Linked DNA regions of Stegostoma tigrinum. The protein of the gene in region 1 interacts with the protein of each later gene in a pairwise test. Links are inferred from orthologs where the notes say so. Each region holds a gene or a part of one and is shown on either strand. Other genes may lie near its edges. The genes, in order: cdc73, tfcp2 and hsf2bp.

What was found.
Region 2: the proteins of cdc73 (region 1) and tfcp2 interact in binary tests that used the Homo sapiens proteins (3 or more experiments, as listed by UniProt). The two-hybrid records come from large-scale screens. The link is inferred for Stegostoma tigrinum from reciprocal best matches to the Homo sapiens genes CDC73 and TFCP2.
Region 3: the proteins of cdc73 (region 1) and hsf2bp interact in binary tests that used the Homo sapiens proteins (3 or more experiments, as listed by UniProt). The link is inferred for Stegostoma tigrinum from reciprocal best matches to the Homo sapiens genes CDC73 and HSF2BP.

The regions. Positions count from the first base shown.
Region 1 is NC_081361.1:34,777,822-34,781,575, forward strand, and holds the start of cdc73 (parafibromin), read left to right. Parts: upstream 1-1,300; 5' UTR 1,301-1,346; coding exon 1,347-1,477; intron 1,478-3,754. Other genes in the region: glrx2 (glutaredoxin 2), read right to left, coding at 737-802.
Region 2 is NC_081404.1:6,119,701-6,123,454, reverse strand, and holds the start of tfcp2 (transcription factor CP2), read right to left. Parts: upstream 2,819-3,754; 5' UTR 2,612-2,818; coding exon 2,490-2,611; intron 1-2,489.
Region 3 is NC_081365.1:280,897-284,650, forward strand, and holds the start of hsf2bp (heat shock factor 2-binding protein), read left to right. Parts: upstream 1-1,071; coding exon 1,072-1,170; intron 1,171-3,754. UniProt on the Homo sapiens protein: Meiotic recombination factor component of recombination bridges involved in meiotic double-strand break repair.

The DNA.
Region 1 (3,754 bases):
AGGGAGGAACTAAGGAAATAGCTTAATAGAATTTTTTTCAGGGTGCTTATGTGCAGGAAGCTAGATAACAGAAGCAGTCTCATGTTAAAGGAACACATTATGGTGGTGTAGCAGAAAAAAGGGACAAATAAAAAGGCCATCGTTAGTGAAGATGTGTAATAGTACATCTGGAAGTCACTAGTTTTGAGTTAGGTGAGATCATGGAGAAACTTTAAGTAATGGTGAGAGTTTTAAAGTCAATTCCGAGTGGTACAAGGGATCTGTGGAGTTCAGAATAAGTGAGAGAGCAATGAGACTGATTGGAAGAGGGTGATAAATGACTCTTTGTTTCAGAGGTTGGTAACGTTGCCTGCATGGATGAGTTAATGTAGAATGAAAGCTAAAATCTGGATTCACTGGAGCAGTGGTGTGGAAGGTATTTATCACAAATTTTAATCTACAGTTAATAAGGCATAACTGCTGATCAGTGAACTAAATCAAAATCACTTTCATGAAATGTCTTAAATACGGCCAGCATATATGTCTGACTCATATGCATTATAAACCACTAGATATTAGCATCGTGATAGATTTGATTATGCTGACAGTGGTTTGATGTCAATTAACTTTTTTTGTATTTAATAAAATCACACTTCACAATCATGCATCCCAAAAGGATGTGCAGTCTTTCTCATTCGTCAATGTGTATAAAACTTCTTTGCGACTCATAATTCGAAATGTTATTGGTCAAACTTACACTGTCCAAACTAGTGTCTTCTACCAGAAGATTGACCATCAGAAGATTGAAGGAATCTTTATCCATCACCTTAAATAATACTGTCACTTTAATCGAGGCTGACAGCAAGCTGTGTGGGCCACGAAGGCAAACAAAGTGAATTAGTTATTCTAGAGAGTGGATTAGTTAGCGAATGAATTAAATACCTACCGTGGTTAGTGCATAAATTATCACGTTAGTGAATTGGTTGTCTATTTAACAAATTACTGAATTAGTTAGTTAGTTCTGGGTTCTTTCAGCCACAAGTTGCTGCGCCAGTCCCCGCCTCCTGTAGATGCCGTTGTCAATGGAGATCCTGCAAACTCAGCAACCACTTGATCACCAGTCCCCCATCAAAATGAAAGTTTCCCTACGCGTGTGTTTTCGTTTCCCCACCCCTTGCAGTCTCCTGATTTAGATCATTAGACGGCAGTTCCACTCGACCACAGTGCTAACATCCGTGCCTGCCCATCCGCCGGCTCAGGCAGTCTGCCCGGGCAGCATGAGGGTCCTGTCCCTCTTCCCTTCTCGACAGGCAGTGCAGCGGGGCAGCCCAGGCTCTCAGGACCCGGTTGTTAGGAGCCGAGGCAAGATGGCGGACGTGCTGAGCGTACTGCGTCAATACAACATCCAGAAGAAGGAGATTGTGGTGAAAGGGGACGAGGTCATCTTCGGAGAGTTCTCCTGGCCGAAGAATGTGAAGACGAATTATGTGATCTGGGGGTGAGTGCTGTCCGCGGGAGTGCTGCATGGATGGATGTGGAGGGTGGAAGGTAAACATTGTGGGGTGGTCGGGGAAGGTGCAGCCTGGGGTGAGTGGAGTGGAGTGCAGTTGAGTTGAGTTTGAGCAGCATGTGCGGGATCAGTGGAGCTACTGGCGGACACCTGTCAATTTCACTGATCATATCACCTAACAAGTCACTTTCATTGTCAATTGTAAACAGAAAATGGAGGGAATTATGTTTGTTTATTCAGTACGGTCAGCCGTCGTGGCTTGGGGAAACTGACACTTGTATCACTCTTTAGCAACAAAAAAAAGTACAGATCAGAGTGATCGCGCCCCTATCTGAACAAATTCGGCGAAGAAGCTGTTGCCGCAAACTTTTCTTGACTTTTTTTTGCAATTTTTGTTAAGTTGTTTGCTTGACTTTAATTGATCAAAGCTGCTTTTTAAACAAACGCACGCGATTTTCTTTTGCAGAGGTGTTGTAGCCGAGTTTCTTAAATGTGCAAAAGACTTTTCGTCCACCAGATTGAATGCGTTGTAGTTTATATTATAAATCACCGATTGTCGGAGGAGATGTTGAATCGAATTGCTGTGTGCTGTTTCCGGTGGCTCTGTTTCATTTTAAGGGCTCTTTATCTTTATTGGAAGAACAATGCACTCTCCATATGCTAGCTCGTATCACTGACTGGGAAATGCAAGCAGCCCCTCTGTTTCACTGCATAATAGTTACTGCTAAAAGCCAAATACATCAAATGCTTTTGAGGCATTTTGAAGTTATTCAACAAAAGGAGGATGCTTTAGTGAGCCAGATGATTCACATTTTAAGACCATCCAAACAGCTTCCAAAGTAACTTTTCAGAAAATTTCAAAACTAGGCCTTGCGATTGCTTGATACAGAGTACACTTTCTCGTCATAGGATGTATCCCAATTATAATACTGATATCAGATAATTAAGTGTGTTCAGAATATCAGATATTTGCAGGACTACAGCTGAAATTGTTGCTTGCTAAAAATTTAGTGTGTGATAGTTTCCAGCTGTTAGACAACATGAGTACCCTTCTTGGGAAGCAGCTTTGACATTGATTTGGAATCGTGTGTCAATTGCAGGAAGGACAGCAATAACTATAGCAGCTGCTGGTGACCCCAAACGATCGGGTGCAATGGACCAGAGAGAAGTTGGCTCTGTTTTCAAACCAATTTTTGATTATTGATTCTGATCTTAGTGAATTAGTTATTCTAGTGAGTGGATTAGTTATGTGGTTAGTGAAATACTCAGCTATTGAATTAATTACCTACCATGATTAGTGTGTAAATTATGGTGTTGGTGAATCAGTTGTCTATTTAACAAATTACTGAGTGTATTAGTTAGTTAGCTCTGCGTTCTTTCAACCACAAGTTGCGGTGCCAGTCGCTGCCTCCTGAAGAAGTTGTTGTCAATCCCACAGACTGTGAACTGTATGTTATGACAGGTCTTGAGAGAATTAAATTTTGCTGATCTTAGGAGTAGAAAGAGCTGTTAGTGTATTGTAAAACTGATTTTACGCAAAACTGTTCAGTCCTGCAGTCTGTGAAGCTCATAAAAAGAGCAGTCCTGCTTTTTTAATTGTATTCCTAAAAATATATTAGTAACAGTTGTGAATTTTTTCAGTGACAGATTCCTGTTACTATTTAGTACATTTCTGCAGTCAAACAGTTTTGTATTTGGGTGTGAACCTTTTACTTAGTACTAATTTGTTAGGACTCTTACAAAACCTGAGCACAATAAGAACTCTAAAACAGTGCCTATATGTTGGGTTTGCACTTCTTGATGGTAGCTATTGGGTGAGGACTAGGAGGATCTGTTAGTACACTGCTTTTGCTTTTAGTTGTGACGTAGACTACAATGGAGCCCTGTGCCAGAAAATCATTTATGGTATGTAAATGTTTTTGAGAACTGTAAGCAAAGTGAAAAACGTGAATATTTTAAGGTTTGATTTTTCTTTCCCACATTAAGAATTTTGGACCAGTTTGCTGCTTTGTTACCTAAAGCTAATTCTTGCAAAGCTCTAAACAACATTTTCAACTGATTATACAGAACTGTGTAATCCGTTTTAGTTTTCTTTAATTCAACCAGTAAGTATTGGCAGGTGAATTGGCTGCTAAGAATCTTAGACTAGTACTTCCATTGCTAGAATTCTACAGATCTGTGTTGAACTGAGATCATAAATTATAATCTGGAGGGGAAACCGTAACAGAATTCCAGGCCCTGTTGTTGCTCAACAAGGGTGAAACT
Region 2 (3,754 bases), on another chromosome or scaffold:
TGTGGCATCAAAAGGATAGGAAAGTAAGAGACAGAGGCCCATTCATTCAGACAGTTTAATAGACATTTAAGTCAATATAAATCACAGAATTGCTACAGCACAGGAGGCCACTTAGCCCAGTGTCCTCACCAGTTCTCCAAACACAAACTACAAAGCATTTCACAACTGCAACATATGAATTAATCTCCCCCTATATTAAAATTAATATAACTAGTATACTTCAAGGGCCTTCAACACAGAACAGTAAAAGAAAATGTGGGAAAATGACAGAAAGCATTTGTAGCGATGAAAATAAATTAAGAAATGAAAAGCTATTAACAATGCTTCAGTTTAAGATGGTGAATGGCAGATTATACCTAGAATTTGATTTAATTACATCTAGAATAAATCATGCAGCAACCAAAAGTACTTGTCTATGTACTTATAAAGACTCAATATTCAAATAATACATTTCAGAGATCAGAGCTGCGTAGACTAAAGCATTAGATTCAAAGTAAGCCGACAAGTTAGACTTTGAAAAATGGAAACCCCCAGTACCATGAAATAAGTGAAGCAACTGGAGGAATTCACATGCTAAGAATGTTGTCATATGGGCTCTTGTGGCACAGCTGTAAGTGCTCCTACCTGTGAACTAGAAAATCCAAGTTCAAGACCTGCCTACTCCAAAAGGTGTGTCATAACATATCCAACACGTTTACTAAAATAAGTACATCTTAGAGCTCTTGCAGCCAAGTATTTGTACCCCATCTCTGAACCAGAAAGCCCAGGTTCAGGTCACACCTGCTGCAAAGGTGAGTCACAACTCATCCGAACAGGTTATTTGAAAATATCAAAACTGCATCATTGAAGAACCAGCTCACTTAAATCCAGGAGACTAAAATTCATTCTACTGGCCGTGCAACATGATCAGATGCAAGTAAAATTTTGCAACATTCACACCAACGAGAGGATTACCAAACAGACCTTGACAAAGCCACAAATGATGATATTAGGGCAGAAAAAAATATAGTTTTTAAGGAGCATCTTAGTTGAAGCCTTCAGGGAGGAATTTTAGAAATTGGAGATTATGTAATTGAAATCATGACCAATTAAAACCAAATGTTCAAATCAAATCGGATGCCAGAATTGAAAGACAACAGATATCTAACAAAGGTGCAGGGCTGGAGGCAATCGCCGAGGTAGGGAGGGATGAGGTCATAATTTGAAATCAAGGAGAACTTTGAAGTCAAGACACTGAGAGGTTACAATGTGAGGTAACAATGCAGGCCAGTGACTGCCAGGAGTGATAACATAACGCAATGCAACTCGCTGCAAGTTAAGGCATGGGCAGCAGCGCTTTGGGTAAAGCCTGAGACCAGCCAGTAATGCAGTGAAATAGTCAAACCTGGAGGTAATGAAGGCATGGATGATGGTTTCAGCAGATGAGCTGATGCAGGGGTGCATTCTAAATAGTAAAGAGATGAAAATAAGCACAGAGCTTGACTGTGTGATCAGAATCTGTCAATACAACACAAAGGTTTCAAACAGTCTGATTTAATCTCAGATAAGTTGCCAAGAAAAGGGACGAAGCTGGTAACTAGGACTCAATTTGTGGTACAAACCAAATCAAATTCCCAACACAATCTCCCCAGGTAGCAATTCTTAGGGTGGAACAGCTATCACAACGTTAAGTGCTTTTTTTTTGCAGATTGCAATTGCAGCCAAATAACATGCATACTTCTGTAAAACATGGACATCTGTTTTCTTCAACACAAGTCAATGAAAAATGATCTGGAGCATCCATACCCATCCCAAGCCCAGGGTCCACTGAAACCAGTTAGAATACTGCACTGTAGCATAACTCTAGCCAAGATCAACAAGTTCATGCAGACCAAGAACAGAACTTGGTTTAAAATAAAAACAAAGTACTGGAGAAACTCAACAGGTCTAGCAGTATCTGTAGAGAGACAGGGACAGTTAACATTTAGTCCTGAAGTCACATTGGTCTCAAAACGTTAAGTATGCTGCTTTCTATACAGATATTGTTAGGTCCGAATTTCTCCAGCACTTTCTATTTGTTTCAGATTTCCAGTATCTGCTGTATTTTGCTTTCATTGAACCAGGTTTGGATGACCCATTCCCACGAGATCGGGCACCAATTGGCTGGTAATCATGTTGTATTTTAACGCAAAACAGCACAAATTATCTCACAATAGATGCTGGGGAGGAAATGGAAGCTGAACCCTGAGGCAATACAGGAGTCAGTGTTTAAAGGTAACGTACATTACCAACATGCACGGTCCGTCTTAAGTAGACATACCTTATATGTTGGTAATGTGGGTTTGAAGTTTCAATGGGTTTCGAGCTGGTAAACACGGGCGGGCCCTTCTACCTGTGGAAATTGAGGTGTGGATCAATGGAATATAACTCTCAATACCCAGAGAGTAGGGTTCTACACTTCTTGTATAGAAACACTGTTTTCTAATTACATGCACATATCAAGCATATACCTCATGCTATAGGCTCCTGCGCCCAATTCCTGACCGATTCCAGACAAACTGGCATCGAAATCCTGCACCAACCCAGATTCAATCACCTCATCCGGCATCGGCATCTTCAGCGCCCAGGCCATGGCGACACGCAAATCAAGGCCAGTAGTGCGAGTTAGAAACAAGTTGCGCTCGAAGGAAGTTAAAAGCGCTCAGAATAAAGGTTCTTTTCCCCAATGCGGAAGAGGCTGAGTGAAAGCCTGGAAATCAGAAGCTACTGAACCCAAAGGGAAGGGCGCGCTCACTGCTCACTCACCGCGCGCCATGTCCGACCCATCAAAGATGGCGCCGCTGGGAACCGGCCGGGACACACATCACGCTGATTGGCTGTTACATAGTCAATCAAAAGTCATTTGCCAGTCGGAATCTGGCCTACTTGCTCTCTTTGACGTCATAACGAACCTTCCTATCACAAGCCGCCAGAAGGCTGGGCTGACTGCTTTCTAACTAAATAGTGTGACGAACCAGAAAAGGGTTTTGTTTTTTATAATTCCACAGTTTGACTCAAATAATGAGGAATGTCCACATTACGTAAATAAATAAGAAACTCTAAGATTTCTGCCTGCGCTATTTTTTCCCAAGATGCTTTCCTCGTTAGTTACGCTGCTATCTTTCCCAAGTGACTACTCTTCACCTGTCAATTCAGTCAGTGTTAGATGGTTTAACAACCATAACGTCGCTTCAACTGCTACTTTTTCCGATAGAGCAATTTCCATCTTCGACCCAATATCAGGAGAGCAAAACTGACGCATACTCTGCTTGTGAAAGGAGACCTGCACTGCTGATAGATAAAGCTGGAAAATATCCCTAGTGACTGATGGAACATTCCATTCAAAAATGCATTTGAACTCGATATAAACAGTGAAATACCGACTGAACGATAGTTTGAGGAACATTTTTTAACAGTAAACTCAATACACGGTCGTCAACAAATTTTCAAATTGCAGCAAACCATGGTGACATTTTAAAACGGCTGGCAGAGTACGAAATTTACTACGGCTGGAGGAGAGAGTCATCGAAGTTGGTAACGATGCTGTCTTCCAAACGAGGCATTGAACCCAATACCTTATCGGACTGTTTAGAGGGGTCGTGAAAGAGCCTTGAACACCATTTAAATGAGAAGAAATCCGTCTGATAGTTATTACGTGGTTTGCTGCCACATTTCCCAAAAAAAATCAGTGACTACGTTTAAAAAGTGGTTGTGAAGCATTTCAAAATGTTCCATA
Region 3 (3,754 bases), on another chromosome or scaffold:
ACCTTACCTGTTCACCCTTTTCATGCCACTCATTATTTTATTAACTTCTAATAAGATCACTCCTCAGCCTCTGATGCCCAAGGAAAATAGCCCCAGCCTATTCAACCTTATCCTGTACCTCAAAATCTCCAATCCTGGCAACATCCTTGTAAATCTTTTCTGATCTCTTTCAAATTTGACAACATCTTTCCTATAGCAGGGAGACCAGAATTGAATATAGTATTCCAAAAGTAGCCTAACCAATGTCCTGTACGACTGCAACATGACCTCCCAATGATTCCAGTCTCGGGCCATTTTAAGTGTGGAGTTTTCACACTTGCCCCGTGTCTACTTGGGTTTCTTGCAGGTGCTCCAGTTTGCTTCTGCAGTCCAAAGATGTTCAAATTAGGTGGATTGGCCATGTTAATACCTATAGTGTTCAGGGATATGCAGACTCAGTGGACTAGGGAAATGCAGGGTTACAGTGTTAAGGTAGGGTGGGTTAATCTGGGTCAGATGCTCTTCAGAGGGTCACTGGACTTAATGTGCTGAATGGCTTGCTTCTGCACTGTAGGGATTCTATGATTCTTTTTGGGTAGAACTCAACTTTAAGAAAGCTGCAATGACTATGATGGGGTCGTACTATAGGCCTCCCAATGACCAGCCAGAGATAGAGGAACAAATATTTAAGCAGATCATGAAAAGATGTAAAAACAACAGGACTGTTGTCGTGGATGATTTTAACTTCCCCGATATTGACTGGGGCTCCCTTAGTGCCAGGGATTTAGATGGGTCATCTAGGAGGGCTTCTTGGAATAATGTGTAGACGGTCCAACAAAGGAAGGGGCTGTACTAGACCTTGTTTTGGATAATGAGCCTGCCCAAATGATTGATGTTTCAGTGGGGGAGCATTTTGGGTCATTGATCATAATTCGGTAAGTTTTAAAGTAGTGATGGATCAGGAGCCTCAATTGAAAGTGCTAAATTAGGGCACGCCTAATTATGGCAGTATTAGGCAGGAACTGAAAAAAATGGATGCGACTGTTTTGAGGTAAATCTACATCTGACATCTTGGAGTCCTTGAAAGGCCAAATGATCAAAGTTCAGAACGAGCATGTTCCAATGAGAATGAGAGATAAGGATGGCAAGATTTGGGAACCCTGCATGACAAAATGTCACATGCGATTCATGGTAAGTTGGATATAAAGTTAGCTTGGTAGTAGTTGTGGAGGGTTAATTTTCTGACAGGAGGTCTGTGAATAGTGATATTCTGCAAGGATCAGTACTAGGACCTCTATTGTTTATAATATGTGTAAATAATTTGGATGAAAATGTCATTTGTTTGATTAGAAATTTTGCACGTGACATAAAAATTGGTGGAATTGTGTATAGTGAGGAAGTTTGTCAAGGGATACATCAGGCTATAGATCAGGTGGCACAGTGGCTCAGTGGCTAGCACTGCTGCCTCAAAGTCCCAGAGACCTGGTTTCAGTTCCACCTTCGGGGTAGAGTTTGCACGTTGTCCGCGTGTCTGCATGGGTTTTCTCTTTGTGTTCTGGTTTCCTACCACAGTCCAAAGATGTGCAGGTTAGGTGGATTGGCCGTGCTAAATTGCCCATAGTGTTCAAGGATATGCAGGCTGGGTAAGCTAGCAAATGGGAAATGCAGAGTTACAGGAATAGGGTAGAGGTGTGGATCTGGGTGGGATGCTCTTTCATAGGGGCAATGTGGAGTCGATGGGCAGAATGACCTGTTTCCACACTGGAAAGATTCTATTCTATTCTAAAGATCTGTTGAAAAGTTAAGCAGAGAAATGGCAGATGGTGTTTAATCCAGATAAATATGGGTGATGTATTTTGAAAGGTCAAATACGAGAGGAAAGTCTACAGTTAGGGGACGTGATGGCCTAGTGATATTGTCGCTGGACTGTTAACCCAGAGAGCCAGGTTATGTTCTGGGGACCTGAGTACAAATCCTGAAATGACAGACGGTGGAATTTGAAATCAATAAATATCTGTAATTAACAATTTAATGATGACCGTGAATCCATTGTCAATTGTCAGAAAAAACCCATCTGGCTCACTATTGTCTTAAGACCATAAGTCATATGGGCAGAAATTAAGCCATTTGGCCCATCGAGTCTGCTCCAACATTCAGTCTTGGCTGGTAAGTTCCTCAATGCCATTCTCCTACTTTCTCCCCGTAACCCTTGATAATCAAGAGCCTATCTATCTCAGTCTTAAATGTACTCAATGACCTGGCCTCTGCAGCCTTCTGTGGCAATGAATTCCATAGATTCACCACTCTGGCTGAAGATGTTTCTCCCCATCTCCATTCTAAAAGGTCTTTCCTTTACTCCAAGGCTGTGTCCTTGGGTCCTGGACTCTCTGACCAATGGAAGCACCTTCCCAACATCCATTTTGCCCAGGCCATTCAGTATTTTGAAAGTTTCAATTAGATCCCCCCCTCATCCATCAAAACTCCAATGAGTACAGTCCCAGACTCCTCAAACGTTCTTCATATATTAAGTTTTCCATTCCCGGGACCATTTTTATGAACCTCCTCTGAGTCCGCTCTAGGGCCAGTACGTCCTTCCTGAGATATGGAGACCAAAACTGCACACAGTGCCCTTTAGAGAAGAAACTGAAACCTTACCTGGTCTGGCCTACATGTGACTGCAGACCCACAGCAATGTGATTGACTCAGAGCTGCCCTCTGGGCAGTTAGGGATGGGCAATAAATGCTGCCTAGCCAGCGACACCCTCATCCTGTGAATGAATAAAGGAAAAAAATGACAAGACCCTTAAGAGTATAGATGTACAGAGGGATCTTGGGGTGCAAGTCCATGGCTTCCTGAAAGGGGCAAAAAAAAGTGTATTGGGTCATAAAGAAAGCCTATGGCTTGCTTGCCTGCATCATTCAGTGCATTGAGTAAAGTTGATAAGTCATGTTGAGGTTGCATAAAAAAATTTTAGGCTACATTTGGAATGCAGTGTGCCATTGACTTGATATATAGATAGAGCAGACAGCCAGAGACTTTTTCCTAGGGTGGAGGTAGCTATTACCAGCTGTTCCAAGAATCTATCTCAGCGGTACTCCACAAATTCCCTTTCTTGGGGTCCAGTACCATCCTGATTCTCCCAGTCTACCTGCAAGTTGAAATCCCCCATTACAAGTATAGTAATACCTTTGCGACTGGCCAATTTCAACTCCTAATCCAACTTACACCCTACATCCAGACTTCTGTTTGGGGGCCTGTAGATAACTCCCATTATGGTCTTTCTACCCTTAGAATTCCTCAGCTGTATCCATACTGACTCTACATCTCCTGATTCAATGTTCCCCCTCGCAAGGGACTGCATATCATTCCTCACCAACAGGGCCACCCCACCCCCACTGCCCATCAGTCTGTCCTTTCGATAACACGTATAACCTTGAATATTCATGCGCTTACATCCTGTGTGGATCAGCTGGCAGAAGTATTCACTGATATCGTCAGCCTCTCCTTGTTACAATCTGACGTCCCCATCTGTTTCATGAACACCCCCATTATCCCAATACCAAAGAAAATAACAAGCCTTAACAAACTACCGTGCAGTGGCTCTGACCTTCATAATCATTAAGTGCTTTGAGAAGCTGGTCATGGCCCACATTAACTCTAGCCTGATTCAACCCCCTGTAATTTGCCTACCGGTGAAACAGTACCACAGCTGACATCATTTCCCTAGCACTACACTCATTCCTAGAACATCTGTATAACCAAGACACCTACGTC